Linked DNA regions of Diceros bicornis minor. The protein of the gene in region 2 purifies or fractionates together with the protein of the main gene of each other region. This does not show direct contact. Links are inferred from orthologs where the notes say so. Each region holds a gene or a part of one and is shown on either strand. Other genes may lie near its edges. The genes, in order: UPF3B, UPF1, SMG7 and UPF3A.

Region 1 (7,963 bases), on a different chromosome or scaffold from region 2:
GTCTGCTTGGGATTTAGGTAAATTTCAGAGCTGGTCTGGGACAAGAATTAATTAAAAACAACGACGACCACAACAGCATTTAAATAAAAGTCATTTTGATCTTGAAAATGGATGCTAGTCTTATAGTTCTCATTATGCCGAGTGGAGTTGAATGCCAGGCAGTCACAGATGATTCCCATAAGGGGTTTTATTTGTGAAAGGATTAATATAAAAGGGGCAATACAACTAATAAAAAATGGCCTGCCCAATGAAGGCCAGGGAAGAATTTTTACAGTAAGGTTTTTCTGCATGTGTAAACATTTTCCTTCTGCTTTTCTGGTGGGGAAGCAGTCCCTACCATGAGATTGCCCAGCTTGCAAAGCGGGAAGAAGGTTCTTGGGGTGTACAGTGAAACAGTGAGGATCAATGATGTGAGGAAGTTTGGGAGAGTTCTATAACTCTCCCTCTCTCTCTGTCTCTCTCTTTTGTCTTCCCCCTTAGCTGGTGAAAAGGAGCCACTACACCTCCCCAACCCTTGATTTTGTTTGTTTTTTCTTTTGCTTTGGAATAAATAATATATTGACATGGTGCAATAACCAAAAGGTTAAAAAGGTATACAGTGAAAAATAAATATGTGAAGAGATGCTCAACTTCATTAATCATCAGAGAAATGCAGAGTAAAACTACAATGAGCTACCGCTACATACTCATCCAGTGTTGGGAAGGGTGTGAAGCCATCGGGACTCTCACACACTGCTAGTAAGAGTATAAATTGGCACAACCACGGTGGAAAACTCTTTAGCACTATCTACTAAAGCAGAACATATGCTTACTCCATGATTCAGCAATTCCAATCCTAGGTATGTATCCAACATAAATGCATACATATGATCACCAAACGACATGTACTACAGTGTTCAGAGCAGCACCCCAAATAGTGGAATGGATAAATAAATTGTGGAAGATTCATACACTGGAATATTATACCATAATGAGAGCGAACAATTCAAAGCTCCATATGGCAACATAAATGAATCTCATAGTCACAAATGTTGAGAGAAAGAAGCCCAACATAAATACGTACTATGTAATCCAGTTCACGTGAAGTTCAAAACAAGCAAAACTAACCAATGGTGTTAGAAATCAGGATGGTTGTATTCTTGATGGGGGAAGTGACTGAAAAGGGACACTAAGGGAGCATGTGGAATGCTGGCAACATTCTGTTTCTTGATCTCAGTGCTGGTTACATGAGTGTGTTCACTTTGTGAAAATTCATCAAGCTGTACATTTATTATGTGTGCACTTGTCTATACATGTGTCATACTTTAATTAAAAGTTTAATTAAAAAGAAACTTTAGGCGCCGGCCTCGTGGCGTAGCGGTTAAGTGCACATGCTCCACTGCTGGTGGCCAGGGTTCAGATCCCGGGCATGCACTGACGCACCACTTGTCATGCCATGCTGTGGTGGCGACCCAAATAAAGTGGAGGAAGAGGGGCATGGATGTTAGCTCAGGGCCAGTCTTCCTCAGCGAAAAAAAAAAGAGGAGGATTGACATGGATGTTAGCTCAGGGCTGATCTTCCTCACCAAAAAAAAAAGAAGAAGAAAGAAACCTTACAGTGTGTGGTAGGCAAAATAATGCACCCCCCAAGCTGTCTACACCCTAATCCCCAGAACCTGTGACTATGTTAAATTATATGGCAAAGGGAATTAGGGTTGCTAATCATCTGACATCATAGCGAGAGTATACTGGATTATCCAGGTGGGCCCAATGTAATCATAAGGGTTCTTAAAAGCAGAAGGGGGAGGCAGAAGAGAGAGTGAAAGAGACATAGATGAAGCAGGATCAGAGAGATGCTATGTTGCTGGCTTTGAAGATGGAGGAAAGGGCCACGAGCTGAGAAATATGCACAGCCTCAAGAATCTGAAAAAGACAAGGAACTGGATTCCCTCCTAGAGCCTCCTGGAAGGAACTCATTTCGGCCAACACCTTAATTTTAGTCCAGTGAGACCCGTGTTGGACTTTTAACCTACAGAACTGTAAGATATTAAATTTGTGTTATTTTAACCCACTAAATTTGTGATAATTTGTTAGAGCAGCAATAGGAAACTAATACAGTTGGTGTGGATCAAGTGTTCGGTTTTGGATATATTCAGAGAATCTGAACGTGTTAAACATCAAGTGGAGACGTCAAGGGGGCAGTTGGATATATGTGTCTGGAATTCAGGGGAGAGGTATGGGCTGGAGATATAAATTTTGGAGTTGTCATCGAAGAGAGAAAAGCTGAAAACAAAAGAATGGATGAGATTAACAAAGAAGTGAGTGTAGACAAAAGAGGTCTGGGGACTGAGCCCTGGAACACCAACTCTGATGACTGACATGTAGCTGGTGGTTTAAAGCCGGTGAGCATTCCGAAACAGAGGCATACATCAGGATGTAAATGCAAGTTAGATGGAGAAAGATAATTACCATATGGCTTCACTCATATGTGGAAGATAAGCAAACAAACACATAGGGGCCGGCCCTGTGGCTTAGTGGTTAAGTGCACGCACTCCGCTGCTGGCGGCCCGGGTTTGGATCCCGGGCGCGCACCGACGCACTGCTTCTCGCGCCATGCTGAGGCCACGTCCCACATACAGCAACTAGAAGGATGTGCAACTATGACATACAACTATCTACTGGGGCTTTGGGGAAAAAAAAATAAATAAAATTACAAACAAACACATAGATACGGAGAACAGATTGGTGGTTACCAGAGGGGGAGGGGATGGGGGGAGGGCAAAAGAGTTTACGTAAAGGGGCACATCTGTATGGTGATGGTTCAAAACTAGACTATTGGTGGTGAACATGATGCAGTCTATACAGAAACTGACATTTAGTAATGTACACCTGAAATACACACAATGTTATAAGCCAATATGACCTCAATAAAATAAATTAAAAAAAAAAGATGTAAATGGAGGGCTAGGTAGTAAGTCAGAGGCCAATACTTAAGCTAGACTTGTAAGAATGGGCAGATACTGGAGGCAAGATCGAGTAACAGATTCCAAATACGTGGAAAAGGTCTTGGCAACAGGAATTAGAAACTCAAGCATATGCTTCACAATACGGGTGAGAAAATTTAAGCACAGTATGTGGGTAATATATTCTAGACGTCAGCAAAAATGGGACCTTGGCCCTGAGCCAGCTTTCTGCCTTCGGCTTCTATTGCATCTTTAACATGGTTCCTGCCCACTGTGGGTGTCTGTGTATCTCTCTAGTTTATCATTTGCCCTTCTCTCCCATTTCTCTTGCTTTTTCCTTAATTGCACATAATACAGAAATACTATGTTCAATTGATTCTGACATATTTTTTCACATTTTAACACCTCTGAAATCAGGATGCATCTTAAAATTGTTGGTGTGTCACAGTTCAATTGGCAGCATTTTTTTCTTTCTTGGTATATAAAATAATGGTGGTCTTTAGGCTGGCCCCGTGGCATAGTGGTTTAAGTTCTCGCCCTCCACTTTGGCAGCCCAGGGTTCGCAGGTTCAGATCCTGAGCATGGACGTACATACTGCTCATCAAGTCATGCTGTGGCAGCATCCCACATACAAAATGGAGGAAAATGGGCACAGACCTTAGCTTAAGGACAATCTTCCTCACCAAAAATAAATAAATATATAAATAATAATAAAAATGGTGGTCTTAAATGCAGTGGTATCTTACATCTGATGAAATACAAATGCTCCATCATTTAGGGCAATAGTTTTCGAATTCTGCATTTTTTTAAACTCTGGAGGGCTGAACTTTATTGAAGTATAATTTACATAAAATAATATTCAGCAATTTTATGTGTACAATTCAATGAGTTTACACAAATGTGTGCAGTTATGCAACCACCACCACAATCATGATAAAGAGCATTTTCATCACTCCAGAGTCCCCTGGAGCCTCTTTGCAATCAATCCCTTCTCCCTCCCCCATCCCCTGACAATCATTGATCTGCTTTCTATCATTATAGTTTTACTTTTTCTAGAATTTGATATGAGATTATACAGCATGTACTCTCTTTGTGTCTGGATTCTTTCACTCAGCTTAATCATATTGAGATTCATTCATGTTGATGGACATATCAGTTCGTTTTTATTGCTGAGTAGTATCTCATTCTACGAATATACCCCATTTTTTTACCCATTTGCCCGTTGACAGACGTGGATTGTTTCCAGTTTCGGGCTATTATAAATAATGTATCCTTGCCGTTTTTTAAGGCAGGAAGGAGGGTGATCCCATCTAAAGCAAGTTGGATTATATTTTATTTTCTCCTCCTTGTGGGGCATCAGTACCATCATACAATCCTTTTACTTAAAAAAGGGAGATGAAAACAAATTTCATACGTTCTAGTCATATTACTTCTTTAAATATCAGTATCTTATGAATGTTTATTAAGTATCTCCGAATCTTAATATAAAAAGAAAATTCTAGAGCTTCTGAAAGCACGCTTAGAATCAATGATAGAACATACCAATCGCTCTCCTAGCGAGGTAAACTTTGGATAACATCGGGTTTATCTGAGGAAAACGAAGCGAAGTACAGCCCGCAGAACCTATCTTTTGATCTGAAAAACACTAAACTTTCAAAATTAATTACTCCATTTACTGTACTTATAAATAGAGACCCCAAGATATCGATGGTTCCAGAACTCTGGGCAAAAAGCGGGTAGCTGCTTTGTATGCCGGGATTTGTAGTCCACGAAAGAGTCGTTCTAGTCAAGATGGTGGAGTTGCTAAGGACCTGCGCAGAGCGGGCCCCGAGGGAGCCTGGGCCGCGAAGCGATTGGGCGGTCCGGAGACTCCGCGGGCGGGAAGTTAAGACCAGGTGTTAAAACCTTTCCACCGAGGGAACCCGGACGCCCTGAAGTCTCGCGAGATCCTGGCTGGGCCCAATGGAACGCGGGCCCCAGCTTATCACTAGGGGCGTTTGTTGGGGGCGGAGCTCTGACGGGAGTGGGCCGGGAGTCGTAGGTGCCCGGCGTAGCGGCGTTTAGGCCGAGGTGCCGCTTTGAGGAGTAAAGCCGTGGCCATGAAGGAGGAGAAGGAGCACAGGCCTAAGGAGAAGCGAGTAACCCTCTTGACTCCCCCGGGGGCTACAAGCAGCGGCGGTGGGGCTTCGGCGGACAGCACCAAAGGGGAAGATAAGCAGGATCGGAACAAGGAGAAGAAAGAGGCGCTGAGCAAGGTGCCTGGCCGACTGTTGGCCCAGGAGAGGGCGGGACGGGTCCGCCACTCGTGGAGGCTGGTTGGGAATGGGGCTGCCCTCTTCCTCTCCCAGTGTCCCCCTCTGTTTCTTCACCTGAGTGCAGATCACATCACCCTGTCTCATCCACTCGTCCGAAAAGCGGGGCGCCCCTCTCCCGGCCAAGCCTTGGAGTGAGAGTGAGGAAAAGGAGGGGATTCCCAAACGAGAAGGGGTTAGGTCAGAGCTGGGAGATGATAATGGGAGGGGGAGCGATAGTAAAGAGAAGGCGGAATGAAAGGTTGATTGGGGATAATTATTAAATAGTTAAGGGGCCGTCAAGGGTGGGAGTAGTTTGTGATAGGAGTATTAACGGAAGCAAGTTGAAGGAGTGTGGGGGGATTAATGGTCTCGGGCCAAATCAGGTGCATACTATTTTGGGAGCAATGAGGGAATTTTTGGTATTCTTTAGCGTTTTGAATTCTTTATGCTGAATGGGGAAGGATTGTGGTTTAGGATGTGTTGGATGTGGTAGGGAAATATTAATAAATCCAGAGTTCGTGGCACCCACAAAAGAGCAGGGTTGGCGCACTATTTTCTTACCACTACATCTGTTGGAAAACGAATGAGAGAAAATGATGCGAAAACCTAGTAAACTGCGGGGCTTCGAGTTAATGCAACGTGAGGTTTTCCTTGCTCTAGGCAGTTCTCATTTCTAAGTTTTTAAAAACAGCGTTCCCATTATGTTTGACTAATTCTGAGCATTAAAAAAATTTTTTCTCCTGGGTTTTTATAAGTGATCTCATCTTTTAAAGCCCAGCTTTCTTCGGGGACGGTGATTCTTCCAGGTACGACAGAAAATTGATTTGTACTCATTTTATTTTCCTTATTCATTTCTCAAGGTGGTCATTCGGAGATTACCTCCCACTTTGACCAAGGAGCAGCTTCAGGAACATCTTCAGCCTATGCCCGAGCATGATTATTTTGAGTTTTTTTCTAATGATACTAGGTAAAATAAATAAATAAAAGAGGGAGGGGGTCAATGAAAAGGTTTCTTCCATTCTTGATCCTACTGCTGTTTTCCATTTGATTTTTGAGCCTGTCTCTTTAATATATGCATACTTGTAATTCAGCCAGACACCTGAAAGCACATTTACATAATTGCTTTCCTCTCTGCAGTCTGTATCCTCATATGTATGCCAGGGCATACATCAACTTTAAAAACCAAGAGGACATTATTTTGTTCAGGGATCGCTTTGATGGTTATGTATTCCTTGACAATAAAGGTGAGTCCTTGTAATAGAAGGGGAGTTTCTTTGTCATTTGTATGTTTAAGACAATGTGTGTATCACAGTGTTTTTCTTCTCAATGCCTTCATAGCTTTTCTAAAATCCTGGGTGATGAAATGTGCAACATTTAGAGTTTTACACCGTTGATAAGCTTATTACTGTCTTATAAATAGATATGTTACTTTTCACAGCCCTCGGGTATTTTTATTAACCTGTGATTTCTGTAGTTTGATCAACTGAATGAAATTGCCACTGTTTTCTCCTCCTGTGATAAATTTTTTGCCCTGGATTAGATGTGTTGTTTTGACTATTGACTAGTTTCAGCACTAATACTGATAAATGACTCTTTAAACTTGTATGACAAGTTTTAAATAATTACTTCTCATCTTGCTTCAAGGACCAACATTTATTTATTTAATTCAAATCCGTTAAGCTAATAGTTCCCATTCAGAATACTGTTTAACATTCTAAGTTGTATGTAATTAAAACATTGAACCTGTAGATCCCCCACTTTGTATCCAGGAGTCTATAGGGAAGAAAAACTTGTCTTAACTCTCTTTGTATTTATTATCTGCTGCTAGCAGCATTTAGCCAGAGAATGTCCAAGCTGTCATTTCCCACTTCGCTTTTGGCTTTGCAATCTTAGGTAAATGATGTGTATTTTTGTTAGGTTATGTTTTTTCAGTGTTACTTCAAAGTTGGTAAAAATGAAATCTTTGTCAGGGAATATGCCAGTAAAAGTTGAAGGATTGTCACTGTATTTCTCCAGCTTTTATTAATCCCCCAAACCAGCTACTTCTCCACTCCAGCTTTATTCCAGTAGATAGCAATGATTTCCTGGAAATCTGAGTTGTGTTTTTTTGTTTTTTGTTTTTTTGGTGAGGAAGATTGGCTCTGAGCTAACATCTGTTGCCAATCTTCCTCTTTTTGCTTGAGGAAGATTGTCCCTGAGCTAACATCTGTGCCAATCTTCCTCTATTTTTTGTATGTGGGATGCCACCACAGCATGGCTTCGTAAGCATTGTGTAGGTCCATGCAGGATCTGAACCCATGAACCCTGGGCCGCTGAAGTGGAGCACATGAACTGAACCGCTACGCCACCAGGCCAGCCCCTGAGTTATGTTTTTTTCCTCTCTTTTTATCCCATACATTTAAACAAATGATGAATCTTGTCAATTTATTGTTTTTTAATATCTTGTTCATCTAGACTTACTAATACTTTCACACTTGATGTCCTCTCACCTAATGCTTAGACAACCACTGTCTCTAAACTTAAAGGATTTTCCATTTTTTCCATCTCTGTATAATTCAGTCTGTTATACTGCCTTGAAATTAATCTTTTTGAAAGTAGTGATTTAAAATAGCAGTTGCGAAAAAAAGTCCAAACTCCTTAGCCTCGTAGTCAGGGTCCTCCATGGTGTGGCCTCACTTCTGTTTTTTTCAGCCTATCTCCACAATTTCCTTCTATTTCAGTCTGGTT
Region 2 (7,184 bases):
GGTATAGCTGCTGCAACTGGAATCACCACCTGGCTAAGCTTATGATAATCTACTCTCATTCTCCACGACCCATCTGTCCTCTGCACAGGCCAAACAGGGGAGCTGAATGAGGATGTGGTAGGAATTGCCACCCCTGCATCTTTCAAGTCATTGATGGCAGCACTCACCTGTGGAACCCTGAGAACGCAGCATCGCTTTTGGTTTACCATTTTCTTAGGTAGAGGAAGCTCTAGTGGCTTTCACTTGGCCTTTCCCACCATAATAGCCCTCACTCCACAAGTCAGGGAACCAATGTGAGGATTCTGCCAACTGCTAGGTGTATCTATTCCAATTATTCCTTCCAGAACTTGGGAAATAACCACAGGATGGGGGAGGTCAGGGACCCACTGGACCCAGCATGAGATGCATCTGAGCTAAAACTCCAGTGTCATCTGACTTCCATAAGGCCCTACTCTGACTGGTGGACCACAGAGACATTTTGGGTCTCCTGGAATTAGTGTCAGTTCAGAGCCAGTGTCCATTAGTCCCTGAAAGGTCTGATTATTTCCCTTTCCCCAATGCATAGTCACCCTGGTAAAGGGCTGTAGGCCCCACAGGGAAAGTCTGGGAGAAAGATTTACAGCATAAAATTCCAGTAGTGCACCAGGGTCCTTCCTTGAGGGGACCCAGCCTCCCCTTCATTCAAAGGGTTCTGGGTCTGTGAACTGCCTCAACTTTGAGAATTGATTGAGGGGGCTGTGACTCTCTGTTTTTATGATTCAAGTTATACTTCTGCTCACTTGACCTAGAACTTTTCGGCTCGTATAGAGCAAGTAAGAATTTAGTAGGCTTCCCATCTATTTCACTTCTAGGAACACCATGATCAACTAGTCAACGCAGAAAGTCTCTGTGAGTCAGACTTTTCTGATTGCTGCTTCGACTCTAATGTCCATTATGGTGACCACACCCACCTTGCCTTTGGTAGTTGAGTGCCACCGCTTGGCCCCTGACACTCTGGGATCCAATTACTCTCTTGCATTTAGGTTTCCCAAATAAGTGGCAGCAGGTAGCACTATAAATTCTGGCCTACAAAGAAGAATGATCACAGAGCTCTTCAAGGATGCTGGGGCTACCCTCACAAATTTATTTCTCACAATCATGGTGAAAGGTGTATCCTCTAGACCCTCTGAGGGTGAGTCTTAAATGACAAATCCACTCTAACATTCCAATCTCCCTGAGCCTTTGACTCCATTGCTCTATAGTAAACCATAGTTACTGTTGAATTGTTTATTTATCCTTTCAATTTTATCACATTTTGCTTCATGTATTTTGGGGCTTTGTTGTTAGGTGCATATATGTTTATAACTGTTATATCTTCATGATAGATTAGAACTTTTATCATTATATAATGTTTTTTGTCTCAAGTAACAATTTTGGTCTTAACATCTATTTTATCTGATATTAATATGGCAATCCAGCTCTCTTTTCTTTACTGTTTGCATGGAATATCTTTTTCTATCCCTTTACTTTCTTTTTTTTTTTTTTTTTTGGTAAGGAAGATCAGCCCTGAGCTAACATCTGTGCCTATCTTCCTCTATTTTTTTTTTTGTTTGGTAAGGAAGATCAGCCCTGAGCTAACATCCATGCCAATCCTCCTCTTTTTGCTGAGGAAGATTGGCCCTGGGCTAACATCCATGCCCATCTTCCTCCATGGCATGGCGTCGGTGCGCACCCGGAATCTGAATCCCGGGCTGCTGCAGTGGAGTGCACGCACTTAACCGCTATGCCACCGGGCCAGCCCCTCCATTTACTTTCTTTTTTTTTTTTTTAATTTTTATTTATTTATTTTTCCCCCAAAGCCCCAGTAGATAGTTGTAAGTCATGGTTGCACATCCTTCTAGTTGCTGTATGTGGGACTCAGGCTCAGCATGGCCAGAGAAGCAGTGCGTCGGTGCGCGCCTGGGATCCGAACCCAGGCTGCCAGCAGCGGAGCGTGCGCACTTAACCGCTAAGCCATGGGGCCGGCCCCCTCCATTTACTTTCAATCTATTTGTGTCTTTGAATCTAAAGTGACTCTCTTGTAGACAGCATATAGTTAAATTGTGTTTTTTAAAAAAATTTATCTGACAATCTCTGCCTTTTAAGTGAAGAGTTTCATCCATTTCCATTTAATGTAATTACTGATAAGGACTTATTTCTGCCATCTTGTTATTTGTTTTCTATATGTTTATATCTTTTTTTTTCAATTATTCCATTACGGACTTCTTTTGTATTAGACATGCTTTAGTGTGCCATCCAAAATGTCATTTTGCAAATGTGAGTATATGTAGGAAATAAGAGGAGAGCCTTAGGGGCCGGCTTGGTGGTACAAGCGGTTAAGTGTGCCCACTCAGCTTTGGTGGCCCAGGGTTCGCAGGTTCAGATCCCAGGTGCGCACCATTGCACCGCTTGTCAAGCTGTACTGTGGTGGCTTCTCATATTAAAAAAAAAAAGTAGGGGCCGGCCCCGTGGCGTAGCCATTAAGTGAGCACATTCTGCTGCTGGCGGCCCGGGCTTGGATCCCAGGCGTGCACCGACGCACCACCTGTCAGGCCATGCTGTGGCAGCGTCCCACATAAAGTGGAGGAAGATGGGCAAGGATGTTAGCTCAGGGCCAATCTTTCTCAGCAAAAAGAGGAGGATTGGCATGGATGTTAGCTCAGGGCTGATCTTCCTTACCAAAAAAAAAAAAAAAAGTAGAGGAAGATAGGCACAGATGTTAGCTCAGGGCCAATCTCCCTCAGCAAAAAAAAAAAAAGAGGAGAGCCTTAGAAGTGGAATTGCTAGATCAAAGGTGCAGAGGGGCCTGCATTTAAAACTGATAGTGTTACCACATTGGTCTTATATGCTTTTACCAGTTCAATTGGATATTTTCCAAAGAGGGCTTTGTTTTTTATCAAAACCATCCATTGGCTTGTTGGGATTCCCTCTTCAACTGTGTCTTCCTGGAGAGGGAGCACCTAATTATTCATTTTCTATATTCTCACATTTTAGTGCATAGTAGGAGACCAGAAAAGATGTGAAGAAGGAAAAAGGAACCTCTTATACGTCGTGACAGGAATATTGGAAAATGAGGAACCAGGCAGGATCAGGAACTATTAGTGCAGCTGTGCAAACCAGGAGCCCTGTGAGCTGACTTCAAGTATTTAGAGAGCCTCAGAAACTTGGGACAGAAAGGAAGTGGCGAGTTCTCCAAGACACTTTACAAAAAAGGAAGCTAGAGGCTGGAAGTTAGGAGATTAAGGCTCATAAACCAGTAGCTGAACTTGGACAACCTTTTACTGAGCACCTACTGTGTGTGGGCATTACTCTTCCCAAGGGGAAGACCATGTGATGAACAAAGCCAGCCCCTGTCCATGTGGAACTTTCCTTACTTAACAATTAAGGGAGTGAATAGTAGTTCACTTATTCTTCATCCCATCTTGATGGTTATTATCATCCTTTTCTAGTGGAGGAAACCTTAGGCTCAGAAAGGCGAATTCACTTGTACAGTCACACAGCCAGTAGGTGGCCAGATCTGGATTTCACCCCAGCGCAAGCGCTCCCAATCGCTTTATCATATACTGCCTCTTGAATAATATTATTGTCCGAAGCAGCAGCAACCACCATTTATGCGTGCCAGGCTCCGTGCTAAGGACTGCCCCCATTTGTTTATTCAACCAGTGCACAGTGAGCATCTACTATGGGTCAGGCACCCCCATTTTACGGATGGGGAAACCGAGGCCCAGGAAGCTTCTCCGAGACATGAGGGTGCGCCGTGCCGCCAAGCCTCTCCAATTGGGTGTTCCAAGACCACCTACGTAATGCATTCAGCTACTGCTCAATTAACCCGAGGCACTGTCGCAGTCGGTACGGCCACAACCACCACACCCTCACCGCCCGCCGCCCGGGCGCCACTGAACTGCGGTTTGGGCGGGACCACGGCCTCGTGCGGCCGCCGCGGCGGCGGTTGGAAGCCCCGCCTCCCGCGCGCGCGCGCTGCGCCTCCTGTCGGCCCGCTCGGCTCCGGGCGTCCGGGCGCGGTTGGAGGCGCCGCGAGGAGCGCGCGCGCCTGCGCCGGCGTCGGGCTCGCGCACGCGCACGGCGGCGGTTCCTGCTGGGAGCTGCGAGCGGCGGGCGGCTCCGAGAGGAGCGGCGGCGCTCAGGGGCTCGGCGGCGGCGGGGGCGGCTCGGCGCGCGTGACTCTCTGCCCGGCTTGCGCCGCGGCAGGCGTTTTGGTCCGGTCCAGGGGCGGGAGCGCGGCGGCGGCGGCGGCGGTCCGAAGTCCGAGGCCTGCGGCCTAGGCCTCAGCGCGGCGGCGGGCTCGAGTGCGGCGCGGAACCGGCCTGAGGGCCGTACGCGGCGGCACCATGAGCGTGGAGGCGTACGGGCCCAGCTCGCAGACGCTCACCTTCCTGGACACCGAGGAGGCCGAGCTGCTTGGCGCCGACACGCAGGGCTCGGAGTTCGAGTTCACCGACTTCACCATCCCCAGCCAGACGCAGACGCCCCCCGGCGGCCCCGGCGGCGGCGGCGCAGGGGGCCCGGTCGGCGTGGGCGCGGGCGCCGCGGCCGGACAGCTCGACGCGCAGGTGAGCGGCACATGGCGGCGCCGGAAGCCCGGACGGGCTTCTTCTCGGCGGCCGGAGACTTGCCGGGCTAATGCGCCCCGGGTCCCGCTCTCCGGCCGGGTCCGGAGTAACCTGGCTCGGGATCTCACTCAGGACTTGCCGGGTAACCTGGCTCGGGATCTCACTCATGACTTGCCGGGAGGAACCTGCCCCGGTTCCCGCTCTGAGTCCCGCTCTGGTTGCGTCCGGGTCATCTGTTCAGGATCTAGTTCAGGCTGGGTCTTAGGTGACCTGCCCCAAGTCCTCTTCCGGGCCTGTCCGGGGTGACCTGCCCTAGCACTGATTCCGGCCAGGTCGGGGGTGATCTGCCCCCCAGTACCCCTCCACCTGGGTCCGTGCCCTGCTCAAGGCGGCTCCGGGGGTATCTGCCCCGGTCCCTCCTCTGGCCAGTCCCGCCGCCCTGCCCTACTAGCTGCCTGTGGTCGCAGCAATCTGGGCACCCCCCCCAGTCATGCCCACTGAGCAGCGGGTTCAAATTTCCCCGGGCCCAGGGACGCTGGCGAGGGTGACGGTAGATGCTCCTGGAACAGAAATGGAATTTCTGCCTCCAGTCGAGAGCCCCACGCTCGTTGGCTATTAAGATTATTGAAGAGGCAGGTTGGGTTTTTTTTTTCCTTCTTGCATTGCCTGTTGCTGAAACTGACCTGTTACGTAACTGCACAGCCCTGCCTTGGAAAAGTTGGGTTTGAGTTTGTTCCTCCAATGGGGCAGTGATAGTGAGTTTTACATAAATGGGTCTGCCACGTCAGAAACTTTTGTTTTTAATGATATGGACGTTTGGCAAAGCCTACTTGGGTGTTTTAAATTTGAGTTTGGTTATGAGAAGTATCAGGCGTACATTTCGGTGACCTGGGTCCCTGCCCCAGGATGGGAGAGGGGTCTGGCTGGGGTCCCAGGGAATGTTGCGGTCATTCTCTGGATCTCAGATTACGTTTACCAAATTTCCCTGTGCCCAGCACCTCCCTCAGGTTTATTTTCCTGAATTCTCAACCAGGGAGGAGCTAAGAGGCTCACTTTGTCACAGGTGTCCTTTGCTCTGAGGACCCACTGCCAGGGCTGGGGAGCCACCCATCCTCAGCAGGAATGAGCTCAGATCCTGTCCTTGGGGGAGGGGGCTTACATTCTAGTTGGTTGAGTCACTCCAGTGGGTAGACCACCCACTTCTTTCTTTTAGCCCTTAATACAAGCAGAAAACATTTGACTCATTCTAACCCCAGATTCCTTAAAAATAGAAGTCCAGTGGGTGGGGCATTGGGGAGAACAGGTGTACAAGTATGTATGTTTCTCAGTTTTGTTTACATATGGTGGAGGGAGGTAGGAGAGGGGAGTTTGCATGGAGAAATGAAGGAGCCGCTGGAGGCTGCTGCTAACGCCTGTAGTTTCAAGCTTTGTAGACCCCTCTGTTTCCACAGCTGTGAAATGAAGGTAGCAGCTATGTTTTTGTTACTTTTCAACATTCATGAAATCTGGACTCGTGTATGAATGGACCAGATAGTGCTGCCTGTAACTTGTGGCCAGCATACCTGGAAGGCTGAGGATAAAGATCTCTTGGTTGAACAGTGTGCCATGCTCTGTAGCAGCTCAGGGTTGTGAAAGGTAGTCGTTTTACTGCAAATCTTTTTTTAACTGCAGCCAATATAAAACAGCAAACCTGGGGCAGCTCTGAGTTCTAGTTTTGTTCCTTGCCATCTGTTTGCGATTAATTGTGAGGCGTGTCCTTCTCTTTCAGTTGAAGTAATCAATTTATTTTCCTGCACCTGAACACTGTACAAAATAATAGCATTAAAACGCTCCACCGAAGGTAAACCTTGCAGTTGAGCTCATTTGAGTTCTGATGACATCAGAAGGGTCTGTCCGTCCTTCCTTTTAATGAAGCCTAAGGATCCACCCACCTATAGCCTAACTTTTGATTTGTATTTGGGGAAGGGAAGTGATATCCTTTGTGTCACAAGAGGAGGCCCTGAATTTGGGCATAGGAAAGTCTGAATAGAATCACAAAGGGGAAAAAAGTTAATTATCTCCTGTGCCAGTTGGTGGCATTGGCTGCCTGCAGCATTTGGGAGGATTTTCCTTATTTGTCCTCAGGAGTTGGCTGTATAACCAGCTATACGATGGGGCTTCCAGAAAGACTCAAAAAACCTCCCATTGTGAATGCCTTTTCATTCCGTCTTATTGGATGAGTGGCTGTGAATTGTCAACTGCTGTGTGGTCTCTTTTGTTTCACAGCTTTATTGAGATAGAATTCACATACCATATGATGCACTCGTTTCGAGTGTCCAATTCAGTGGCTTTTAATACATTCAGAGGTATGCCACCACCAGCACAATCAATTTTAGGACATTTTTGTTACCCTAGAAAGAAACCCTGCAACCCTCAGCCCGTCAATCCTCCCTTCTCCAACCCCAGGCCACCACTAATCTTTCTGGATTTATCTACTCTGAACGTTTCATATGGATGGAATCATACAGTATGTAATCTTTTGTGTCTGGCTTCTGTCACTGAGCGTGTCTTCAAGGTTTGTCCATGGTGTAGCAGTATCTGTTCCATTCCTTTTTA
Region 3 (7,660 bases), on a different chromosome or scaffold from region 2:
CCGGCCCCACAATATTCTTTTTTAATATTCGTCGGTCTACCCTATGAGCATTTCTTCTTGTCTTCTCCAGATGGTCTGTGTCCATTAAATTAGAAGATAAGATTTTAAGGTGCGGATCTTTCCCAGAAGTGTTTTCTTATTGGGAGTTGGGAGAAATTCTTGAAGATTAATAAGGTTTCCCTTAGTAAATATTAAGAAAATGGAGAAGGAGAGAGAGTTCTGACCACCATTCTCTATCACCTCACTGTCTCCCAGACCAAAAGTTGCTTCTCTGGGGTCTTGGACTGCAGTGCTTGCTGACCGTTCTTCAGGCTCAGTGACTCCCTCTTAGGAGTGAATAAATAAATATACACTTGGCGAACTGTTTGATAAAGGCTGCTGACCTTTGGTCTATGAAATCTTGAGCAACAGGAGACCTGAGATGAACCGTCCATTTGTATCTGACTCGATATTTGAAGAGAATGAATCACTCACTTGATTGAATCACTTAGCTCCATGGCCTGAGGTGTGGTACTAAAGAGAGCATGGGCCAGCTTCACACACATTGTGTACTTAAGGACTGCAATTGATAAATCCTTCTCATCAAAACAAAAACACATCTATTAAGTACCTAATTGTGCACATGATTTGGAAACATTCAGAATATGTAGGCTAAATATGAAAATAAATTAGTGCTTGTTAAGATTCCATGAAACAGGTAAGATGTCTATTATTATAAAAAGGGAGGAGGCTTGCTATGTATCAATCGTCAGGTTACCAAAGCTCTGGGTAAATTTGATAGCAATGTTCAGAGTAGCTTCTCAGCAAATACCTGGTGTCTGATTGAAACCCAGCCACTTGGTTTACTTGGGCAGAAATGTAGTTATATTAGGTTGTTTTTAGTGACATAAGGTTTTTAAAAAGTTTCAACCCTCTAGAATCTGACTCCTAATGTCCTGATATTGTATTCTTTTCTGTAATCTGAGTCATGGATGAAGAAATCTATCTTCTAGCACTGAATGAGAATAGACGTGGGTATGTGGTGAGACCTATGAGTATTATAGATAAAGACTAGATAAATTATTATTTAAAAAAATAACTTTATGCTGCAGTAGTTCTAAATCATTCATTTTAGCTTGATATAAAAGAGCAAGAGGGCAAAAAGAAAATTAACATTTATCAAGAGCCAGTGTTGTATGTCAGGCGCTCACATACTCAGTCATATATACCATCATTAAAGTTCACAGGAAGCCTGTAGTAGGTAAGGTTTCCATTTTGCTCAAGGAAGAAACTGAAGTTCAGAGACTGAGATGGCAGAGTTGGGAGGCACACTCGGGTCTGCTAGCTTATGATCTTTCCCTAAAATCAGTTAGGCACAAACTGAACAACTTACAATCAGGTAGGATTAAACAAAGTGAGACAGCTTTACCTCTCTAATTTCTTTCGGTTTAGATAATCTATATCTACCAGGGAAAAAGTGAATAAAATCTATTGCAGAAAGACGCTTGTATTCTAAAAATCTGTTGATGAGGGGGGCCGTAGAAAGAGATGAGATTTCGAAAATGTACATTAAGCAATATGTAAATTCTGGGTCATAATTTTTCTGAGTCCTATTGATTTTTGAAAGTTATTTTCACATAAGGGCATCAATCTCTTATAACCTTTAAACTGTAAATGTTACTAGTTCTATCTAGTTTATAGGGACATTGTAAAGCTATTGAAGAATCTTATAAAATTCTTAGGAAAGCTGCTATAAAATACAAAGATTATTTATATTTCTCACCCTCATCTGTGTACCTAAAGTACTTTGTTCTTACCTTAATTATTGCACCCATAATATTGCATCCTAATCATTTCTCTACTCTGGTATCTCTTCCAGAAGCTTGGTTCCTCCAAGACAGGGACTATGTCTCTTTCACTATGACAGTGCCTGAAATATAATAAGTGCTCAGTAAATGTTTATTGATTAAACAACACAACAAAAGGATTCATCATTCTGATCCCAGGTTCCTTATTTCCAAAATGAGAAGATAGTAATATTTTCCCAGACTGCTTATCAGGAGTGTCATAATATATGCTCATATACTGTTTATACTGGAGATATAAGCCACAGACATAAAAGGTGTTATGATGATGATGATTAAGGGACTAATTATTTTACATAACATAAAGTTTTTATTCTGGCTAAAATCATTTTAAAAATCTAATAATAAATTTCAGGAAAGAAATGTAGGGCATTTTAGGGAATATGTAGTAGTAATCTCCAGCCTTGGGCTCTCAGGGTTGAAGGAAAAGCAGGATCCTACACCAGGGATGAGAACAATCTCTCACTAGGTGGCTCTCTTTCCCGCAAGTGGGCGAACCGTTGGTGCAGCGATGATAGGGAGCATTGTACAGCTGCAACCACCGCGCGTCACCCGGCCATCACAGTAGGCGTTTGCAGCGGGAGGGGCATAGTTCAGTTTCTGTTTCCTTAATGATACGCTGTCCTTAGAATTTATTTCAAAGTAGCCTGTACTTTCATTTCCTCCAAATTTATACATGATACTCCAAACAGACACCGGTCCAGTCTTTCAATTGTTGCAACTTCAGGGAAGGATGTTGAAAGCGCCTGTTCACCTAGCATGGAAGACAGCAGGAATCCAGGTACCCAAATGGAGCCGAACCAAAATAGCCCATTAAAATCCTGATTTTTAACTATCCAGTGAGGGCTGTTTTATACCGTTACATATCCTGAAGTATTTTGTGACAGCTGCTTAAACGATTCCCTAATACGAATCGAAAATATAATTTGTAAAATGTCAAATAATTCCTTCAAATCATTAGGATGACGATTTCTCCAGCTACTTCTCATACACTCCATATTATTATTGACCCCATTCTTTACTCCTGCTTTTTAGCCCCAAACCGAACACAAAATACACACACTGGACATTCAAAAAGATTTGTTCTAAGAATGAAAATCCTTTTCCTAGACGCCTTTCATGGGAACTTCGCACAAGTATCTGTTTTTCTTGATACTGTTTTACCCAACACTTTCCTCTTCAACACAAAAGATACACAAATTCCACAACCCTGCAGACCCATCAGAGAAGGAGGAAGTTTGCAGAGGAGGGAGGAACCTGGAGGTCTGCTTTTGATAATCTAACGGGACCCCCAGGGGGTGGGGGTGGGGTGGGGCGGTGTCTCTGAGAGGGATGGCAATCGACAGCGTCTTGCCACGTCCTGGCTCTAAATGCTGGGAGACCACTTGTTAGCCTTCTAGGATGTGTTCCCACTCTCACTCTGGCCTCCCTGCGGCAGGAGGCGGCGCCAGAAGGCCACGCGGGGAACTCCGAGGAGGCTCGGTCGCCGAGGGTGTGTGTGGGGTGGGGTTTGGGGGATTTCTGTAAGGGGTCGACCCACCGGGAAAAGTCGGCTGTCCCTGTCGGCAGGAGAGGGATCGCGGCTGTCGTGTGCCGTTCTCCTCCCTCAGGGACCCCGTCCTGGCGGGATCCCGCCTCCCAGAGCCCGCGGCGGCTGTGGGGAAACCCCTCGCCCGCCTCGCCGCCTCGCGCCGCCGCCGCGCCCTCCCCGCTCCAGCCCGCCGCCTGCCAGCCTTCAGGCCTCTCCACGCCCGGCCCTGACAGGAAACTATGAAGGTGGTTCCCGCCCGCAGGCGGGTGGAAAAGCCCACGGTGAATGCCTCGGGGTCTCCCCTATCGCTGCGGGAAGGGGAAAGGGAGGAGGAAATGAACTTCACCGCCCGGGAGAACTACCCGGATCCCCAACCTGGGGGAGGCCTCGGATGGAAGGGAAGCCAAGGGGGAACCTTGGGCACTTTCTCGAGAATCCATTAGCGCAGGGAGGGTCACCCTGTCCGCACACACTGGTTACTATGACAATACAACTACAGCCTGCGGTTGCCATGGCAGCTGCTTATCCAATCCGATTGGTTTCCTTTCTCTTCCTCCCTGGGCTCCACCCCATACCCTCCACAGTCTCCCAGCGTGCAGAGGGAGGGGCCGCAGAAAAGAGGAGGGGGTCAGCGTCATTCTCTAGGGCGCAAAGGAAGACAAGAGTCGAGAGACTGGCGGGCGGAACTGTAGGAGGAAGGGGCGGCGTTTCCGGTAGGGAAGAGTGGAGGAGTGGAAAAAGGAAGAGAGAAATCGGGTGGAGTGGAAAGACGGGGGAAGATTTTGAGTGTAACTCCCAGTTGACTTGGGCTCGATGTTCCCAGTGAGGCTGGGGTTGCCCCCTCGCGCGGGAGGAGAGGGGTGGATTGGCCGCAAGCAGTCAAGCGCCTCCAGCGGGCAGCTCAGCAGCCGCATAGGCGCCGCACAGCTAGTTGGTCCCAAAACGGTGCGCTACAGAGCGGCGGAAATCAACGGGAGGGACCGGCGCCGTTGAAATCTCGCGAGAGGAACCCTACTTCCTTTCTCCGCTTCTCCCTCCTCTTCCCCCCGCCCCCTTCCCGTTTCCCTCCCCCTTCCCCCTCCCGGGTCGGAGTGTCCCTGCGCCCCAGGGGCCGGAGCAGCAGCGAGAGCAGCTTTCCCCGCTCCCTCCCCCTCGCCCTCACTCACCCCCACCCCCCCGCCAAGCGAGGAGGAGCCGGAGGAGAGGAAGATGGCGGCGGCCGCCAGCACCCGCGGGGCCGCGGGGCCGCTCCGAGGAGCCTGAGACACACACAGAGGCTTCGCGGGAAGACGCGGCGGCGGAGGATGAGCCTGCAGAGCGCGCAGTATCTCCGGTGAGTGCCGATGTCGGCCCCGTCCGTGGGGGGAGCGGGCCGACGGTTGGGGCATGGAGCAGCAGACCCAGAGGTGCTATGTCCGGGGTGGCGGGGGAGTTGCTGTGTCCTCTCCTTCCCTGGCAGGGAGGCGGGGGCTGCGAGGGGAGCCGCGGGAGGGGGCGGAGCGGGCACACACCTGGGTGCCTGGCCCCCGCGGGCCGGGCGGAGTTCCAGCGAAGCCGGCTCACCTCGGTGCGAGGACGGAGGTTAGGGAAGTGGGAGAATATGTGTGCGCGCGCCCGGGGTCGCGGGCTCGCTGGCGAGGGGTGGGGGAGGCGCCCGGGGAGGCGGCGGCGACCCCGAGTGGAGGTGGGTGTGGAGGAGTCTCATCCCGGTGGCGGGGAAAACGTGGTGTGGCGTGGGATTGGCTGGAGCGATGCGTGAGGAGAAGACGCGGTGGAAGTCTGTACACCTGGGGTGTGTGGGTGGCCGGGGAGGGAGGACCAGAAGAGGGGGAGACTGCAGGAAACTGGAGTTTGTTCTTCATTCTCGGGGTGGAAGTGCTGAGGAATAATGTCATCTGTAGTCAGTTGGTGGGGTGGGAGTAGGGCCATAAAGAGGGGGAGTGGATGAGGAAGTGAGGAAAGAGGGAGGTACTATGGACGGGATTGGGTTCCCCGGAAGAAACTGGGTTAGAATCAGTGTAGTCTGAACATACCATTCTGAGAGTCGTGTGCATTCACCAAGAGTGGTGTAAGGAACTTGTATGTCGGAGGTAGAGTGACTCATGGGTGCAGAGTATGTGTGAGTATGTGATTATGTCTGGGGTGAGGTGTGGGGGGCGATTGATACACATTTTAGGAGGGGAAGATGCAGACACATTGGAACCAAGTACCTGATGGTGAGAGTGTGTTGAATGGAAAGACTAGCTGTTGTGCAGCCAAGAAAGTTCCATAGAAGCAGAGTAAGCGCGTGGAGGGAGAGGTAAATGAGGGTCAAAGTCTTGATGACAGAGAAAAATAAGGTTGTTAGAGCCTGAGATTAATTGGGGAGTTGCTACTGCTTAGAAAAGGGGAAGGAAAACCTTAAAATGGGTATCCTTTGTCTTTCAGGAGCAGAACTAAGAAAGGCAGGCTTATGGGAAGATATTTTAAAAAGTAGTTTCATATCTTGTGGAGGAGGGATTTGGATGGGTTAGAAGTCTGAAATGAGCAGACAAGTCACTTTAGCTGTTTAGTGAAAGTATTGCTGTGTGAGTGGATCCCTATATGTATATTGCAAGAGAACGTATGTACTAAGTGACACATGAGGGTGGCTATTCTACTTCTGAAAGTAGTAGTAGTTTTATTAAGCAGAGTGTGGAGAGGAGAGAATGATGAGACCTTTGAATTATGGTTGAATGCCTGAGTTCAACAGGGACAGGATCCACACAGCATGGGTGCCCAATGACTATAAGGTAGTTGGAATGATATCTGTATACCGAGGTCTTTTTTGTCTCTGTTATCCCTTTATTGTTGAACATATCAGATAAACTTAATAAAAAAACTGGCAAAGATCTGTGGGATGCTGTAGAGGGGGGATATGGAAGCCATCAGGACAGTCCTTAATTTTAAAGAATTTGCAGTTTAGTATATATTAGGCAAATAAATTAATAACAGCACAGAATAAAATAAGGTAAGTATCATTAAAGATGCCAAGTGTTAGAGGAGTCCAAAGGCAGATTACCTGAGCAACTGGGGGAATCAGGAAGAGCTTCCTTTGTTCATTGCTCATTCATAGACTCGTGATTCATCAGTCATTTTGTTGATCACCAGTATGGGAGGCATTGTACCAACTGCTGAGAATAGAAAAGTAAGAACTCCACCCTCCTCTTACAGAGTTTACAGTTTATTAGGCTTCAAGGAGAAATTGGCACTTAAAATGGACCTTAAGGATAAACAGTATCCTGACAGGTAGGGATTGGGAAGAGGGGAATTCAAATGGAAGGAAACAGGAGCAGAGATATGTGGATAGGGAGGTTGGGGATGGGGCAAGGTATTCAGTCTAGTTAAACAGAATATAGGGTGGTGCAGCTGGAAAAACTTAAGAGTTTTATAGCTTATTGTTTGACCCCTTCCTTTTACAGATGAGGAAAGTATAGCCCAAAGAAATTAAAATTGTTGAGGATCATATAGTTGGTATGCGGAAGCTCTGTAACTCAAATGTAGGTCCTCTAACTCCAAATTATCTATACTGTGCAACATGTCTGGGTTCATCCACTCTTTCCACAAATATATATTGAGAGCTTACTATATTCCAGGCACTGAGGATACAGTGGTGAACAAAAGAGTGAACATGGAAAGGTATATTATAGTGTAAGGATGCAATCAAACATATGAACAGATAAATATGTTCATCAGGTGGTAACAAGTACTAGGAAGAAAAATAAAGCAAGATAGGGATATGCTCTTTTATATAGACAAGGGATCAGGGAAAGCCTATTGATAAGGTGCTTGTCTTTGAGAGGGTCTTGAATATCATGATCTGTAGTTTGTAGTTAAAATGGTTGGACAATGGAGAATCTGAGATGATTTGTTTAGAAGGGAGTTTACATGTTCATAGCTATGAAGTTGGAAGATGAATCTGTTTAAGTGTAATGGTGGGCAGTTAGGGCCAGAAATAAGGTGGTGGCAGTGGTACTAGAAAAGTATGATGAAAAGCAGATTGAGAGAGTGGTGGTAATTTTAATGAGAAGATGTCTTGGCTTTGGGAGCCTTCTGTGTTACTGTATCTTATGTTTTGTAAATCAACATGGTAGGGAAGGCTTATCCTTAGGTTGTGGAGTCAGTGGTACACAGCTCAAGATGAGTTTAGTTCTCTGAGGAAGGGAGAAAAGAATAAGAATGAACACAGTGTTTAAATAACCTATATTTTCCAGCTAAAGTTGAACAGGCACGGGACCTAGAGTCCCTTAAAGATTCCTGAGAGCCA
Region 4 (7,767 bases), on a different chromosome or scaffold from region 2:
GCACTTCCTTCTAGTTGCTGTATATGGGACGCGGCCTCAGCATGGTGGGAGAAGCGGTGCATCAGGTGTGCGCGCAGGATCCGAACCCGGGCCGCCAGTAGCAGAGCTTGAGCACTTAACCGCTAAGCCACGGGGCTGGCCCTAGAACAAACTACTTTAGATAAAACCTTTATGCCAAAGTATCATCTCTCAGTTAATTACAAAATGGATATTCTTTAGCAAAAAATCAAAATCAAACAAACAAAACACGAACTGAGACCTTGTTAATGACTTGGGGGAGACCCTTTAGGTCAGTTTCTCTACTGCACAGAGTCAGGGTTAAAATAACTGGTCCTGGGGCCGGCCCCGTGGCTTAGCGGTTAAGTGCTCGTGCTCCGCTGCTGGCGGCCCGGGTTCGATCCCGGGAGCGCACCAACACACCGCTTCTCCGGCCATGCTGAGGCCGCGTCCCACATACAGCAACTAGAAGGATGTGCAGCTATGACATACAACTATCTACTGGGGCTTTGGGGGAAAAAATAAATAAATAAATAAATAATTATAAAATAACTGGTCCTCAGAGGCTGAAAACCAAAGGCATGGTTATTCAAAGGTCATCCCTCACCATGCGTCACCACTGCGACACCACCTAGTGAGGACCGTTCACAGGCGACAATGCTGTGCTGTAAAGAGATCCTTCACTGACTTAGAGAAAACCTGCAGGTATTTTAAGAGTATTTCTTGGAGCACATGGTACGAGGTCTACAAAAGAACGAAGCCTTTCTCCCGTCTCACAGCTACCGATTTCCTTCATAGGCAGGAACTTTCAGCCCCACGTGACAGATGAGAACACTGAGAAATCAGGAACTTGAGAGGACGTGTTAGTTAAAAGGTGGGCCTGGGATCCCACCTGAGACCAGTGCCCGTCTTCCTGTAACGGCACCAGTTTTCCTAAACTTTAGTCATTTGAAAACCATCTTTCTGTTGGGTTTTTAAACTATATCTAAAGTTACCTCTTAGTGATATTTTTCTTTGAATGGACTGACGTTTTTTACTTAAATGCATTTATTCTAAAGGAAAGTTCCTATGGCTACCATAATTGAGAACTCACAATATTGAGAATAGAAACAATAACAATGATAATGAAGATCATGATAAAAACATAATGAAAATCACTAAATTCTAGGTGAACTGTCACCTGTTGAAGGTCTAACCTGGTCTGCTCCCTCTGTGTCATTAAAAGGGAAATTTGGAAGTGTTACAGTGTTGTCAGAGTCATCTTATTACCAAGCTGTAACAGGGAATTGAAAAAGACATGACCGGGCATGCGCAGGGTCGGGGTGTTAGTGATAGAAGGGAGTACAAGGGGGCTTCTGGGGTCGGGGATATTCTGTTTCTTTATCTGGTGTTAATTATATGGGTGTGTTCACTTGTGAAAATTCATCAGGTTATACATCTATTATTCATTCACTTTTCTTTGTTATATCTTAATAAAATCTACTTTAAAAAGCTCTATGAAATAGTTTATTGATATCCAAAATTGAGTAATATGTTGTTAGTTTGTCTGTTTTTCTTTTCAGACTACGGTAGTGACAGCAGAGGCATATTCCAAATCTGTTTTAGAGGAATTTAATGATCTGCCTACTTAGAAATAACTTAGAAACAAAGGTCTGCACTGATTTCTGGGTACGTGTGGGAAAGAAGATGGAAACGAAGATGGCTCCTATTATCTACAAAAATTTCCACCACTGACAATACCTCACAGCTGTTTAACGTCGGTAAACAGCTTCTCACCTGAGATCGGCAGTGAAGAACTCGAAGGAGTCGTGCGCAGGCAGCGGGCGAAGCTGCTGTTCCAGCTGCTCCTTGGTGAGGCTGGGAGGAAGCCGCCGGATGACCACCTGGGGAAAGGTCGCTGCCTGGGTTTTGTTTCACTATCACTGTATTAAGCTTCAATTATTTGAATGCTTGGTCACCTGTGTTTATGCTCAAAGGAAAATCTAAACCAGGCGTCCAGCAGAAACACACATTTTAGGAAAGGATAAGAAATACCTGGAGAACATAGCTGTCAAAAGGGTAATGAGGGCTGAATAATTTAAAAGGGATCCGTGGGGTCAGAAAAGCCTGCGCATAACCCCTCTTCCTCGGAATCATTTCATTACTACCACGACACGTACGGTCCGTGCCCGAGCTGCAAAATAAGACCCGCTCCTCTCTCTCCTGCATGTGGGCCACACTAGGAGGCAAGACACACGCAGAGAACACCAGCAGGAGCAAACCCACGGGCACCGTCCTCACTGCCCAGGGGAAGTCCGCCTCCTGTCCGCAGTGTCCACACCGCGGGTCCTCTCCAACACCTCACCAGCCGTCCGGGCTGCCTCTCCCGGCTGCCGCCGTCTTCCCTGGACCGGACCGGACCCTGACAGAGCCGCCGAGCCACCGACCCCGCTCGTGCCCCCTGCGGCCGCGCTCCTCGGCAGTGCGGACAGCTACTGCCAGGCGCCGGGGAGCCCAGCGTCTCAGCCCCAGCGGGAAACGTGCTCAGGCCCACAGGGCATTTCTTCCTCCCCAGGCCGGAAAAGCTCGCGTCGGAGGGCGCCGAAAACTCGGCCAGCGCTGCCCGACCGCTGTCCGCGGTGCTGAAGGGCGCCCCGCCCAACCCGCGGCCCCGCCTCACCTTGCTGAGGACCGTCCTCCTCTCGCGAGGTTGGCGCGCAGCACCCACCCTCGCCCCGCCTGACCGCGCTAAGAATTCCCCTTCCTCTCGCGAGGTTTGCTTGCACCGCCCCGTCCTCACCCCGCCCCTTCCTTCGCCCCGCCCCCACCTTGCTTAGGGCCGTTTTCTTCTCCTCGCGAGGTTTGCCTGCGCCACCCCCACAGCCGGAGGACGCGGCCGGTGGCGACTCCCGGCGGAACTGGACTTCCAGGACGGCTGCCTTCTCCCTCCCGGTTGAGCGCCGTGCAGCAACAGCCGCCCTGGGGCCTCCGGCCCCCTCCTTCTCCGAGCGCATCTCGTACCGGTCGCGGAGCCACTGCCGCCTCTCGCCCGGGCGGAACCTCGCGAGAACTGGGCCGCTGGGGCTTGGATGGCGCCCGCCCCTCTCCTCCGTTCCCCTCCGCCCCCTCCCCCTGGGCCACCCCCTGGCCCCGGGTATTCCACTTTCCGCGCGCCCTCTTGGCCCACGACCTCCGCCGCCGCCCTGGGGCCTCTGTATGGGGGCCCTGGAGCCGCACCTCCCACCAGCCCTGCCGCCACATTGCGCAGCTGTGCGGTCACTGGGAAGTGGGAGCTCGACCTCGGAGGGTCTGGAGTCTTGTTCGTTTGGTGTCAGCAGGACATTCTGGCCCAGGGGACGATTGGCTCAAGCAACAGCCTTTGCAGGTGTTGGGAGAGAGGGAGAATCTCCCTCTGCCCTTTGCCTTAGGTTCTTATGGCTGGCCAAATAATTAATAAGACAGGTTAGCAGGAGAAAATAATACCAAGTTTAATAACAATGTATACGTGGGAGAAAGCAGGGACGCTGCGTTTCTCAACACAATAGCAGAAATTCTAGTCTTAAATACCATGTTCAGCCAATGACAAAGGAGGATGTTGGGGGGGGGGAGTCAGTTACAGAAGATTATCACTAAAGCCCAGTAAACAAGAGTGAGGTTATTATGCAGATTTAAGGCCTCACCTTCCATAGTGATAAGTCTCTAGAAATGAGGCCATCCCCCCTCTTCCCAAAACAGAGAGGGAGATCCCTTTACAAATGGAGATTTCCCTTATAAATGTAAATGTTTGTCTGGCAACTCCTCGCAGGGCCATCCAGAGAATGTGGCCAGAGAGACATAATATGGGCTTGTTGATGCCTTTTCTATTGTAACATCTATTTTACATTATATTACAGCCATCAGATAGAAGATCTGTTCCAGTATCAAAGAGTTTGATACTATGTCAAATTCTTTAGGCAGTTAGTGGGGGAGGTCAAATGTCCTCAGAGAAAACAACCAAGGTAAAGAGAGAGATTTCAGGGTGGCCAAATCTTGATCTCCCACACAGGGCTGAACCTGCTTCCCACAGAGAGCTGGCTATTTGGCCGAATAGTCCTGCGAGTTACATACACGTGCTTAATAAAACAGTTACAGATATTTATTGTTCTCAAAGTGTGGATGCAAAATAACCAATAAGGATTATAACCCAGGAGGGCCTTTTCCAGAAAGTAAGAAAGCGTTCTGGAGAAGAGTGGTTTTCAGTACAGTCTTACACCTTTTTAGGACAAAAAACATACATTAAACATGCCCAGGATAAAATTTCAAAGAGGCATTCAGTTGCAAATTAGCAGGTCAACATGACCCTGATGTTGGGGAAAGGGACTAATCCGCATTACCAATAGGGCGTAGGAGGGGAGGTAAGCATTCTTAAGAGAGGATGTTCTTTAATGGTTAAAGTGTATGTACAATGTATGTTTCATAGGCCATAAATCAGGCTTGTTTAGTTCAAGCCTAGAATCAGGTTTAAACCCAAAGGGTTACCCTTTGTACGTCAATGTGTGAAAATCTCTTATCACAAGATAATTCGAACTTTTTGGGGGGGATCAGAATTGGCCACTTCAAATGTGTCTCTTTGGCTTGATTATTTTGATAAATAAATAGCAAGCAATAGGGCATATTGGAGCATATGAGGAAGTCATTTGGTGTAAAACTAATTTGGCCTGAGCTTGTTTTTCCAAAAGGGCCTGTGGCCTTTGAAGATATATTGTAAATCTGCTTTAAGCAATTAACATGTCCCAAAGACAAGAACAAATGCCGTTAAGATAAGGATGCAACTTCCCCCACATTGGCATTTCCTTAAGGATAAGCATTTCTCCCTAGGCTAGGATTTGATTGCTGCACTCATCCTGTGACCACCCAACTCCAGACAACAGACCTGCTGCCTGCTGTGTCCATCAATCCCTGTGCAGACAGAGTAATCTGACAAGGGCAATCTCAAGACTATTGTAAAAGGGACATTGCAATCATATGAGATACATGCACTTGGACAGTATATAACCGCTCAGTACACCCCACTTCTTTGGTGCCCTTCCTTCCTTGGGGAAGGAGGGCCCCAGGCTATGTGGTCCTCAAATTTGGCTCATGATAAACTCACCCCAATTTTGATTTATAGATTGATTATAGGTTATTTGCATCAACAATTTTTAAGAACAAAAGACTCTGAAACTCTGACCTTCCCCTAACTGCCTAAAATAATTTAAGATAGAGGGTCTGTTCCAGGAAAGAGCTAATACCATATGATAACTGTAATGTAATGTAAAATGTTTCTTTCAGGTGGGCCCAACACTTTTTTAACAAACATTTACATTTCCATCTCCATGTGAATTGCCTTCCTTCCTTCCCTTTGGAGCCCAAAACCACTACCCCCAACATCCTCCTGTGTCTTTAGCTGAAGATGATATTTAAGGTGTTGACTTTGGCCATTCTGGTGAGTTACTCAGCTTTCCTGGGTTTCTCCCATGTATACACGTTATTAAACTTTGATTTTTCTCCTGTTATTCTGTCTCATGTCAATTTAATTCTTAGACCACCCAGAAGGACCTAGGGGGTAGAGGAATTGTCTTCCTCCTCTACAGTTTCATCAGAGACTAGCAGTTACATATAAGAAAAACAAAACTGTTGACAAAGAGCACGAATGGGTGCAGGGCTTTACTATATATATGGAGTGGAATGAACGTGCCAGAGTTGTGAGCAGAAATTGGCCGGCACAGAAAGAAGACTCACTTGGACTATCCTCAGGAGCCCAGGCGTCAGCACTGACTGCTGTCTGGATGATGTGCAGGCTGGATTAGAGGAACTAAGAGCTCAGACCCACGGCACCCACAAAACAGGGCGTTAAGGTTTTCCAATATAATTTTTATTCAACTTTTTGAGGCTCTCAATTAATGGGACAGCAATTAAGCCATGATCACATTTGTGTATTTTTCTTTTACAAACATGCAAACGGTAACTTTCAATTAGAATAATTTATATGAAAGTTCTTCACTTTTAAGTGCCACATTTTTTCATATTTCCTCATATATTTCTTTATTTATGTTGGCTGTATATTTCATTCATAGCTCCTTTCTCCCAAGAACTTCAAATACAAACAAAAAAATTAGAGAATGGAGTGACCAAGGCATTGAGAGATTAAGGGAGTCACTGGTAGATACTGGAAGCAAATCCAGACTTAACTCAACCAGCACTTGATCCCACTCACTATGTATGGACACAGTTGAAGTGTAACATTTCAAGTGGGCCAAAAGACTCAAAGAGCAGTTCCCAAACTGAGTTCTCTAAAACGCCACAAAGGGGGCCAGGCACAATTTTCAGTATTTCATAAGGTCTAGAGGAATTGCATTAGAGACAAGCCTATGATCAAGTTGCACACACTGGATCCAGTTTCCTTTTTTGCCTCAAACCAACTCAGTATAGAAAGCCTAGTTATGCTGATCAAAAGCTCTGATGATCTTATCTATGATAAAAAGGAAAACGCGGTTGCCAGACAAAATCTTTTACTACATAGTGAGGGTGGGAGGTAGGGGCAAAAGGGGCTGATAGGAAAAATTTGGACACCATTCATTTTAAAAATCTGAATGTTCAGCAGTCTTTAAATACACAGCACATACAGATCTTCCTCGACTTCCAAGGGTTTTATGTCCCAATAAACCCTTTGTAAGTTGAAAATACTGTAAGTCGAAGATGCATTAACACACCTAACCTACCGAACATCATAGTTTAGTCTAGCCTACCTTCAACGTGCTCAGACACTTACGTGAGCCTACTGTTGGACAAAATCAACTTACACAAAGCCTATTTAATAATAAAGTGTTGAATGTCTCACGTAATTGATTGAATACTGCAAGTGGAAAACAGAATGGTTGTATGGGTACAGAATGGTTGTCAGTGTGTGGGTTGTTTACCCTTGTGATCATGTGGCTGACAGGGAGCTGCAGCTCGATGCCGCTGCCCAGCATCACGAGAGGATTGTACTGCATATCGCTAGCCTAGGAAAAGACCAAAATTCAAAATTCGAAGTATGACGTCTACTGAACGCGTATTGCTTCTGCACTGTTGTTAAGTCAAAAAATCCTAAATTGAACCATCATATATGAGGGACTATCTGTATTCTGAACATCTTTTTTTAAAACTGCCCTCATCTATTTGCAGGTCTTCCTTCTTTAATTTCTGCATGTTATTCAGAAGTTAATCATCTAACTCAATATCTGATTTCAGCTCTTTAGTGATGTTTCTACATTGGCATTCTTTTATTACTCAGCCAAAAAACACTGAAATTACCTAACGGAGAGAAGAACTCTTGTCCTCAGCTTCTCATTAGGCCCTGGTATGTGCAATGCCTTGTGATATTTCTTGTGTCCATATTTTGCTGCCACCACTATGAAGCCACGGCTTATGCTATGGCCTCTGCCTAGCACGTCCTCCCACCTTCCTGAAGCCCTCTCAGCCCAACCGAACACCTTCCCAGCCACGGTGGCTTCATTTGAGATCCCCAGAACCTTAATCACACTTCCATTTGTTGCACCGTATTCAATGCTCAAAGAACACTCCCTACAGCCCAGAATGATGACTTACTCAAGCAGGAGCTACATTTTATTCCACTCTGTATGCCCAGCCCAGGCCTGTATCTGGCACCTACAGGCATTCACATGTTTGCTGGATATATATTTCTTGTAAATGTAGCTCGCAAAAGGCCCAAATGGTTTTTTTTCCCCAAGTAACAGCCACCACTGTCAATTTTCAAAGACCCCTCTGATT

What was found.
Region 1: the proteins of UPF1 (region 2) and UPF3B purify together in Homo sapiens (co-immunoprecipitation; 16 studies listed by BioGRID and IntAct, with this or other methods). This does not show direct contact. The link is inferred for Diceros bicornis minor from reciprocal best matches to the Homo sapiens genes UPF1 and UPF3B.
Region 3: the proteins of UPF1 (region 2) and SMG7 purify together in Homo sapiens (affinity purification with western blotting; 7 studies listed by BioGRID and IntAct, with this or other methods). This does not show direct contact. The link is inferred for Diceros bicornis minor from reciprocal best matches to the Homo sapiens genes UPF1 and SMG7.
Region 4: the proteins of UPF1 (region 2) and UPF3A purify together in Homo sapiens (affinity purification with western blotting; 5 studies listed by BioGRID and IntAct, with this or other methods). This does not show direct contact. The link is inferred for Diceros bicornis minor from reciprocal best matches to the Homo sapiens genes UPF1 and UPF3A.

Annotation. Positions count from the first base shown.
Region 1 is NC_080781.1:110,330,065-110,338,027, reverse strand, and holds the start of UPF3B (regulator of nonsense transcripts 3B), read left to right. Parts: upstream 1-4,954; 5' UTR 4,955-5,041; coding exon 5,042-5,197; intron 5,198-6,096; coding exon 6,097-6,203; intron 6,204-6,373; coding exon 6,374-6,480; intron 6,481-7,963. UniProt on the Homo sapiens protein: Involved in nonsense-mediated decay (NMD) of mRNAs containing premature stop codons by associating with the nuclear exon junction complex (EJC) and serving as link between the EJC core and NMD machinery.
Region 2 is NC_080759.1:6,387,474-6,394,657, forward strand, and holds the start of UPF1 (regulator of nonsense transcripts 1), read left to right. Parts: upstream 1-4,174; 5' UTR 4,175-4,367; coding exon 4,368-4,589; intron 4,590-7,184. UniProt on the Homo sapiens protein: RNA-dependent helicase required for nonsense-mediated decay (NMD) of aberrant mRNAs containing premature stop codons and modulates the expression level of normal mRNAs.
Region 3 is NC_080743.1:83,979,123-83,986,782, reverse strand, and holds the start of SMG7 (nonsense-mediated mRNA decay factor SMG7), read left to right. Parts: upstream 1-4,644; 5' UTR 4,645-4,679; coding exon of another isoform or gene 4,680-4,708; intron 4,709-7,660. UniProt on the Homo sapiens protein: Plays a role in nonsense-mediated mRNA decay. Recruits UPF1 to cytoplasmic mRNA decay bodies.
Region 4 is NC_080748.1:87,791,849-87,799,615, reverse strand, and holds the start of UPF3A (regulator of nonsense transcripts 3A), read right to left. Parts: upstream 3,008-7,767; 5' UTR 2,991-3,007; coding exon 2,805-2,990; intron 2,570-2,804; exon of another isoform or gene 2,206-2,569; coding exon of another isoform or gene 2,032-2,205; intron 1,881-2,031; coding exon 1,774-1,880; intron 1-1,773. UniProt on the Homo sapiens protein: Involved in nonsense-mediated decay (NMD) of mRNAs containing premature stop codons by associating with the nuclear exon junction complex (EJC) and serving as link between the EJC core and NMD machinery.